Schizosaccharomyces pombe: one gene and its partner. The gene in region 1 interacts genetically with each later gene. Each region holds a gene or a part of one and is shown on either strand. Other genes may lie near its edges.

The links.
Region 2: of pqr1 (region 1) and pho84, a mutation in one rescues a mutant of the other (synthetic rescue), as found in Schizosaccharomyces pombe (one study listed by BioGRID).

Annotation. Positions count from the first base shown.
Region 1 is NC_003424.3:2,420,898-2,425,754, forward strand, and holds pqr1 (ubiquitin-protein ligase E3), read right to left. Parts: upstream 2,930-4,857; 5' UTR 2,307-2,929; coding exon 894-2,306; 3' UTR 549-893; downstream 1-548.
Region 2 is NC_003423.3:4,441,848-4,446,720, forward strand, and holds pho84 (inorganic phosphate transporter), read left to right. Parts: upstream 1-2,253; 5' UTR 2,254-2,404; coding exon 2,405-4,123; 3' UTR 4,124-4,353; downstream 4,354-4,873. UniProt on the Schizosaccharomyces pombe protein: High-affinity transporter for external inorganic phosphate.

The DNA of each region.
Region 1 (4,857 bases):
TATATATTCCATTACCACTTAGAATATTTAGTAGCTGGTGAAGTATAATTACTTCCACTTATAACAAAAAAGTACAACGCTCAAAACTACTCCGATATTAGGTTGAGTTAGTAATAGTTGTAAACAGCCTTAAATTACTCCGCGAAATACTCGGATTTAAACGTTGTCAAATATCTTAAATCTTGTTCATTCGGAGTTTTCAGTGAAATCGTGGCAAAGGACTTCTTGATGCTCCGGTAAAGTCGGTTTTAGAAAGCAAAAAACAGCTTTTGCTAGTGTTCCAAACACAAAAACTACTACCCATAGCACAATTATTCATTAAAATCTGTGAAGAGAGACATATTAAACACTGTAAGTGGGTAACTTAGGAATTGAGATAAAAGCATTGTTTTTCGGACTATCAATGTTTAGTTGCTGAAAGTTACGTTAAGTTTACAAATACATCAGAGGTTGACTACAAGAACTTCCGAATAATATGAATAATGAGTTCAAATTTGGTAAATTTAAGTTACGAATACGATTTCCTAAAACATTACACAGCTTTTGTAAGCTAAAATTCTATAAATGTCTATTGTCTATGTTGATTTTTAAAAAATATGTTCGGTTTAGTAAAGATTAATGGTATGTGATGAGCAAGTATTATGTACAAGCATTTAAAAAAGCTAAATATAAGAAAAAACCGAGAATTATAAGCAAACGTTTATAACAAAGAAACACACGAAAATGCTATTTACAGCAATAAAAGTTAGGTGAGGAAAGAAAAATAGAAAGTTAGTATGCAAATTAGGCAAGGAAAACATAAAAAAACAGATAATCAAATATAGTGAGTAAAAAATAGTCCTGAGCCTTTAAGAGAGGGTTGGGAATTTAGCGGAAACAAATCCGTCGTCTATCTACATTATCACACAATTGTTCTGACCTGATACAACAGAAATTGAAGAAGGAGTAAACGTATCGTTCTCATTTTCTTCAAACTTTTCCTTAATCTCTCTTGGGAAATATGTTTTCATAAAATTCATCAAGGCGTGATCAATATTGCGAGAATCGGCTTTCATAACTTCTTTGGCACGACACAACGGACAGAAATCAACTTTCTGTTTCTGAAGAATGATAAGGCAATGCAAACAAAAAACATGGGAACAACCTAATCTCACCGGCTTGTAAGCAACGTTAGAGCATATAGCGCATTCAAAATCCCTCAGTTGAGGAATAATCGAGAATAGCTTAGAAGAGAGTGAAAAGCATATAGCTTTAGAAGCATTGTCGACCAAAAGAAGAGGGTCTGATTCGATAACTTGAAAAAATAGAGGTTGAGCGGTTAAGGATGTCCGCTTATCAAACTTTTTCATGATCTTCGTAACGGCTAACTTATTCATTTGCTGAAAAGAAGCAACTTTCAACAAACTTTCATTAAGTTCAAGAAACTTAGCATACAAAATACGATCACGATGCTTTGAGGAAGAGGGAAGACATTTTGCTAGCCTGACCTGATCGTCAAACCATTTCAAATGGCGCTCAGCGAGCTCGGGAGTGCGTTCATGACTCTGATCAGCTTCCTTGCAAGAAATAAATATATCGGAATCCATATAAATTTCGAAAATTTTTCTCCAGCAATAAAGAGATTTGTATTTCTTTTTGGAATTAGGGGAAGCTATAAGAGATATTTCATGACTCAGGATATCAATTGCGTTAAAAAGAATTTTACGCTGTTCACGCTGTAGTCCTTCAACACTTTGCAACTCCGAAGTTAATTTTTCAAAAAACTCGTGGTCACAGTTCAACGATATTTCCATACTTTGAACTTCGGACATGTCAGAACTCATAGTTTGAGTATCGATATCTTCATCAACCGTTTCACAAGTCTCTACGCTCTGAGATGATGCGGACACACTTGGTAACGTATTGGTAGGGGGCTGCTGAGTAGAATCCGAAGGAGTAGAAGGAACATTTGAGGCATAATTACTCCTGACGGTTGTAATCATATTTGATGCATTCAACTGCTTGAACATTGAAGCAGCGAACTTATCAGTTTTCAATTTATCAAAATTTACGTTGATAATAATTTTGGGGACAACAATGTGTCCCTCTTTGCCAAGGGAGTAACTAAGCGTAATAGCTTGTTGGGGATCCACGGTAGTCGGAGCCATCAATTTACTGATGGTCTCAGCACTTAGACCCAAGGAAGACAGCTCAAAAACGAACCTTTTAATACATTTTTTTAAGGCCTTGTACTGAATGGCAGCCTCGCCCCAACCAGGGGGCATATCGTTTTCGAGAGCCCTTTTAAAATCGTGTCCAAATTTCATATCGGAAGGACTTTTTTTCAATGAAAATGAAAGAGGATGAAACCTTTACAAAAGATTGAAATCAAAATATTTGAAAGGCGGTAAAACTACAGAATAAAAAACCAAAGCCCAAGAAGGAGAAAGCTTTGTGGTTTTTATAAAAATGAGTGCTCCGACCTTTGCAATCGAAGTATCGGAGTTAAGTATTTTCTTTATTACAAGCAGATGGAGAAAGAAAGCTTGCAAGATAGAGTTTCGCAGAGTTGAATTGCGTACGTTTTGATTAAAATATATATATATTAGTAATGGAATGAAGTGAAGAAAAAAGTAACAGCCCAAAGACCTAAAAGCTGCTTGTGATAAAACAACAAGCTACAATGGGACGAAATTAGATAGAATAGATAAATGGAATGGGAATGAAAATAAATAAAATGATTTTCTAATACCACGTTTCGAATCAACCGAAACCGTCGTTCGCAAACGGAGACCTGCCTGGCTTGATTCAACCAAAGGTACGTGAGTGTTTAAAATTGTAAAGAGATGCGTAACTCCTTAATACTTATACATATAGTAAATGAATTTTCGATACTATTTCAAAAGTTTTAACACTGTACTAATCGTCAAAATCCTTGTTGGTTCATGACAGGTGAAAATCCTTGCAGTCCTTTCGCATCCTTATATTGCACCGCGTTAGACGACGCAAGGTGGCAAACCAAAGCATTTCCCCCTGACGTCATAAAAAGAGCGGAGGAACTTGCGGTATAGGTAATACTACCCAACCGCACTCGGGTTCGCAATGTTATTAGTAAACGGCCTTCCGGTAAGCCTTACAGTAAAAGGAAAGGAAGCAGGGGCAATTGGAAGACCAGCAGTGGTACGAAATCTTCCTTAGCTTTATAGAATGAGGCTTGTGCTGATTGTCAACAATTTGCTGACAATGTGTGAAACGTACAGAGTTGGGTTGTTGAACAAATGTTCTGTAGCACTGTGCCAAAAGAGAAAAAATAAAAAAAAATAAAAAAAAAAGAGAGATAAAGGATAGTCGGTAAGAAGTTGAGCCTCTTTGTTTTCCTCTTTTTTGTATTGTTTTTAATTTTGTATGTATATGATAATAAGTAGGTATCTAATTATATTTGATTGATCCGATTAAACCGGACTATGACTGTAATAACCATTTTATTCACGATTAGTTAACGGTGTGCCACAAAAAACTAAAACAGATAAGGGCAAGTTTCGTATGGAATTATTGTACATTATCGTATTGAGTAAGTAGATAAACGTGTTTGATGACTATAGACATTAAAAGGATTATCGAGATTGTAAAATTTTGGTTTTTTTACAGATTAGAAAAAAAAAGAAAAAAAAAAAAAAAAGAGGAGAAGGACATGTTGCAAATCCGTGAGTCAATAAAACAATTCTGGAAGAAGCAATTTTTTAGTATTCACAATGTAAAGGAAAGGACGACAATTACAATTTCATTGAATAATCCCAAGCTATAGGAGAGACTTAAAACGAGTTTGAAATATTGAAGAATATAGAAGGATAAGAAAGTCGATTAGTATGAATTTTGAGATTCTATTAAAATATGAATAGCAGCAATTGTTAAACTATCAAAATTTTTCTTTTATTCATTATACAATGCTATTTACTTATTACGGTGAAAAACTAACACGTCAACCTCAAACAATTTAGGATTTAAACTTTCGCTTTCCAATCAAGTTTAGATTTTTATTTTCCCTAAAAGTAGTCTTCTCATTTGCACATGATTTTGTAATGCTAAGCTTGGGGTAAATGAAAGAGACCTCCCTTTTGTAAAAGAAATCTGCGTAATGCTTATAACATCGGGTCGTAATTGCTTGACTCAATAATGTAAACAAATTTTGTTAAAACTATTTGTCCCTTGAAGAGGCAGTGTTATATAGTCAGATTAGCAACACAATATATTAAAAACATCGAGGAAATTTGCATTAATAAATGCGAAATTTTCGTATTCTATATGAGCGAAACCTTAGCTAAATAGTATTGATTAACTCAGAAAAGACCAAGCATTCATAGCGAAATTAACATGAAAATTCGTGATAATAGCCTTGCTACATGAAGGCAAGAAGTTCGTTTGTTTTTAAGCAATGCAAGCATGGCATTATTATTAGCGCATTGGCTTCTTCTAAAAAACACAATCTTACATTTTAATTCGGTTGTGGAAAAATTTGATCTTTAGTTCAATGTCTTTTGTAAACTGATAATTTTAACTTCATTTTTTGGAAATGTGCATTTTGCTAATGCATATATAGCAGCAAGACCTTAAATAACAATATAAGTTTTCATGAGAACCATGTTTTCTTAATTAAGAAGACAGTAGTTTGTAAACTGTATTAAGATTATACATATATCAATATATGTTAATATATATATTTATTCATATATTCATTTTTTACAAAAGTGATTTTTCGGATTTCAAACTGTCTAAAGTTTGCATGTATAGAACACAAATTTATTTAGGGTTCAAATGATTTCGTACACAACTTTAACTTATGTTTCGCTTGTTGTATTTATTTACTTCAGCATTGGCGAG
Region 2 (4,873 bases), on another chromosome or scaffold:
CTCCATATATATATAAGAAAGACAAGAATTACGAAGGACGATGTAAAACCATAAACAGGGATTGCAGATTACCGTGAAAGGATGTGTATCAACGTATCATTCTCGACTGTGAATCTAGGGAAATGTTGAGAGAATAAAAAAAAATAACAAATCAAAATTGCCGAGTCTTAGGAATGTCATAATTTATTTTCTCTCAAAAGGTTTATTGTGCGACATGGAGCCGGCATCTAATTTACAGTCACTTATACGATGTCAAGTCACAACAAGCAACTATGGTAGCAAGAGAGTAGTTACTTCACATTCCCATGAGAATAGAACAGTCCAAAATCCTTCTCACACATTCCTTTTCGCTTACACGAATTTCAATTTTTATTATTTATATTTTTTTTATCTTCGAACGATGTGAGTAAAATGCGTGTGAATTCGGCAATATACGACGCTGGAAATAAATTAGTAAACTGCCCTTGACTGATCACGATAGTTATATGGAAGAAATTGTTTCGACTATCCTAACTTAATTCCTATTATTTTCAGAAAAGGGTTTAATTTTTCCAATCTTCCAGTTCAGTTTGCATACCGAACGGTACACAATCTTACCCTGTCAAAAACCCCCTTTTTCAATTTAAAAAAATGACGTCACACACTGCATCAATAGCTATATAAGAAGCCTGAGTACCTAACTATTCAAATTTTTAATTTTAATTTAAACGCATTGGTAGTATGAAATAGAACGAAATAAGTCATAGAGGATGAGATAGAATTAATTCATAACAAATTAAACTATGAAAATCGTTAGAAATTGAAATTTATTAATATCGACATCTGTCCTTATAATAATTAATTAGTTTCCACGGTCTTTTCTTGAAAATTATTCTGCGTTTTGTCGAACTAGAATAATGCACGAAAGATTAACTCATCGTTGCTTTTAATTAGATAGCAAGAATGTAAAACAATGGAATTTGCTACTCGACACGAAAATTCAAAAATTTTCGAATACTATCAAATCATCTTATATCCATTACACTTGTTGAAGGGTGGCGGGCGGTAAAATCCTCGTATCCGTTCATCTTTTTGCTTCGGCAGTATATGCTGCCTAATAAATTTTAGCGTTCGGTAAACTGAGGTTCCTAAAATAAACTACGGTTTACGTGCATGAATGGAACATACTTGGAACCGAAATTGCTGAAGTGGCTGTTTTGTGCGGATGCCGGTTGTCAGGTCAATTCCGTGCAGAACATTCTGCTCGGTACCTGGTAGTTGTTAATTTCAAAGACCGACAATAGGAGAGGTGAGGGGAATTTTGTAGGATGGCGGCATTTCCGTTCGCCGAGTTTAATGGAAGTGGAAGCATGCATGCTTTGTTGATGTCTATTTTGTCAAAGAAATCTTATCACCCAACATCCTATCGGGTTGGAGGATATCGGAACCAACTTATCCGGGTGTTCTGTGTGTGGGCATGCATTGAGCTACACAGCATCAATCCGTGGTATTCTGGAATGTATACTTTTGAAACCGGCCGATTACTGGTTTTAAAACAACGACATCGCGTGCTTTCCATGGAATTGAAAAAACCAAACAGCTCGACGATTAAACCGTGTTTTACTTGGGCCAATTCTGTATTGTATAATGACATACTGATTTTTATTTTCGCAAATTTCATTTTGAATGCATACCGTATTGAGTTCTCTGCAGTATGAGTTTGTCTCTTAACTACAATTTTGTCTCAATTAGTAATGTCAACGTTATTAACTTAAGATTTCCGAGTGGGTCTAACGAGGGTATTACCACTTTTGCAACTTTTTTATGAACTGATACCCCTTTAGTATAATTGTCTGTTTTTGCAGTTGTCCGCTAGTGCTAATTCTTTTACTTTAAAGTGCAAATCTTAAACCAAATTGACCCATTACTTTCCCTCAGTTTTCTAACACCGCGTTACCTTAATCCTGAAATAGAAAATTTTAATTGTTAATATTTTTTTACTATTTTTTTATATTTCCTTATTGGATTCATATCAGTTACAAAGCAAATTGGACGGTTTACTTATAAACATAGTGTTTTGCATTTCCGATTTCTTCCTGTTTTGCTATTTTGTTTTGAAATAAGATTAAGCAGGTGGTGAATGTGCCGGTTGCCAGGGAACGTCAACACCAAAGCTTTTGATCTTAATTATTAATTTTTTTTCTATAACAAAGCCACCAATCTGACAAACTGGTAGTTTACTATATATATTGCTCCATTGCATACTGAATTATCTGTGTGTGTAAACCACCGGTACTCAGTTTTCTTAATTCTAATTGCAACCGCATTCGGACTTCATTAATTTGCATAAAGCAGCGATTAAGACTTACTTTATCATTCATTGCTTTCCTTTTCTCTCATATTTTGAACGCAAGGAAATCACAAGATGGCATTTGGGAGCAAAATTTTAAACATTGGATCTAAGTCTGATGAGTATAACGACGATGCAGTACCTCTCGACCAAGTCGAAGAGGGTGCGCAAGAGCGTCGCTATTACTTGGGGTTGACAAAGCGCGAATTTAAACTTATGATGCTTGCAGGTGTCGGGTTTTTCCTTGACAGTTACGATCTTTTTATCATCAATTTAGTTACTCCCATTTTTGAATATCTTTATTGGGGTGGTATTGAAAAAGGTCCCACAGGAAAAGGCCATTATCCCTCTGGTATTCGTGGTCTTGTAAATGCGTCAGCCAATATTGGTAACATTTTTGGACAACTGTTATTTGGTTTTATGGGTGATTTCTTTGGCCGTAAATTTGTCTACGGTAAAGAAATGGTTATTGTTATCATCGCTACTGTTCTGGTTATCGCTATGCCTAAAAGCATTCATTCTCCTCTTTCGAAAATGATGTGGGTTTTCTGTTGGCGTTGGTTGCTCGGTGTAGGTATTGGTGGTGATTATCCAATGTCTGCCGCTATCACTTCTGAGCGTAGTAAAATTAAACGACGTGGTACACTTATTTCTTTAATTTTTGCCTTCCAAGGTTTCGGAACTCTTGCTGGTGCCATTGTTACCATCATCCTTTTGGGTTGTTTCGAACATCCATTGAATCGGGAAGGTCATTATCATAAACTCGAAGGTGTCTGGCGTCTTCAATTTGGTCTTGCTTTGGTTCCTGCTATTGGTGTTCTTATTCCCCGTCTCATCATGAAAGAATCTAAATCATACGAGAATTCTAAAGCACTTAATAGTGCTGAAGGAAAAGATCCAAAGGCATTCTTCAATACCGATGATGAGGACAATATGAAGAAGTCATCTAGCCATGGTGACTCCGAGGTTGTCGAAGCTTCTGATCGTTATGCTAATCAAGCAGATGCTGCTGACGCTGAAGTTGATAACATTGAAAAACAATTTGCCGCAGTTACAACCCCTGAAAACAGCAGTGGATTTATCACTTACTTCAGACAATGGCGTCATTTTAAGCATCTTTTGGGTACATCTGTTTGTTGGTTTCTGTTGGATATTGCCTTTTACGGTGTCAATCTTAATCAATCTGTCATTCTCAAGAATATTGGCTTCAGTACTGGTACGAACGAATACCGCACATTGATGAAAAACGCAATTGGCAACTTGATTATCGCTGTTGCCGGCTATGTTCCTGGATACTGGTTCAACGTCTTCCTTGTTGAAATTCTTGGACGTAAATGGATTCAACTACAAGGCTTCGTGATTACTGGTTTGATGTTTGCAATTTTGGCAGGACGTTGGAACGAAATTTCCACTGGTGGTCGATTTGCTTGTTTTGTTATTGCCCAACTGTTTTCTAACTTTGGTCCCAACTCCACCACTTTTATTTATCCCGCTGAGGTTTTCCCTGCACGCGTACGTGGTACTGCTCATGGTGTTTCAGCTGCTTTGGGTAAATGTGGCGCTATTCTTGCATCACTTCTTTTTAACTTTTTGACCGGTGTTATTGGATATGGTAACGTTATGTGGATTTTCTGCGGATGCATGTGGGGTGGCATTCTTTTCACACTTTTGCTTCCTGAAACAAAGGGTCGTGATGCTGATGAAATTGATAGGTTGGAATTATTTTATGGCAAGGACGGCAAAGTTCAATGTGATAGCAAGTGGAAGAGCTGGTATTTTAATGGAATCTTTTAATTAAATCATAATGCCGCATACTTTGCTTTTTTTCTTGGTACATATAATTTTATAATACTTAAAACATGATTCCCTTCGTCTTTTGAAAAGTTTAATATACCTTGGTTACTGCTTCTGTTACCAGGTTTGGCCAAATATTTAGTTTTGTTCGTTTGCTTTAATAAAAGGGGACAGTTTTCGGTTAGTTTGTGTTTATTCAGCGATAATTAATAAAAATTTTAAAATTGACGAAATAACGCTCTCTATGCTTTTTCTCGCTATAGACTTTATTAGTATAACCTAGCTAACTAAGGTAGGCGTTGCTAAGGTAAAGCAGTCACGATTATTGTGACGTGCTAATTAGCAAAAAGGTATATATAGCATAGCCCCCCTAATGAACTATTCTTTTACAAAATTTGGGAATGTGAATTTACTCTACTTTGTGTTAAATTATTAATAGTCAAGGAAAACTAGGCATGCAAAAGAAAAGCCTTATGTTAAATTTTAAATGTTAAATTACAATTAGATTCATAGTTTGGCTTGCTATACCTTAGAAAGTTATTTTATAGAGCATGCGCGAATTTAAATTTATGGTACGAGTGTTTTCATTGATTAACTGTTTGTTGCTTTCTTTCTACTTATTATCTCCATTTGGATAAGAAAGCATAAGCATTCGTTTTATACAAATCAGAGTGACATATAGTCTACTTAAATTTACAATTGATTAGACTTTGATAAATGTAACTGAAAATTTTTGTTCATATCGAAGGT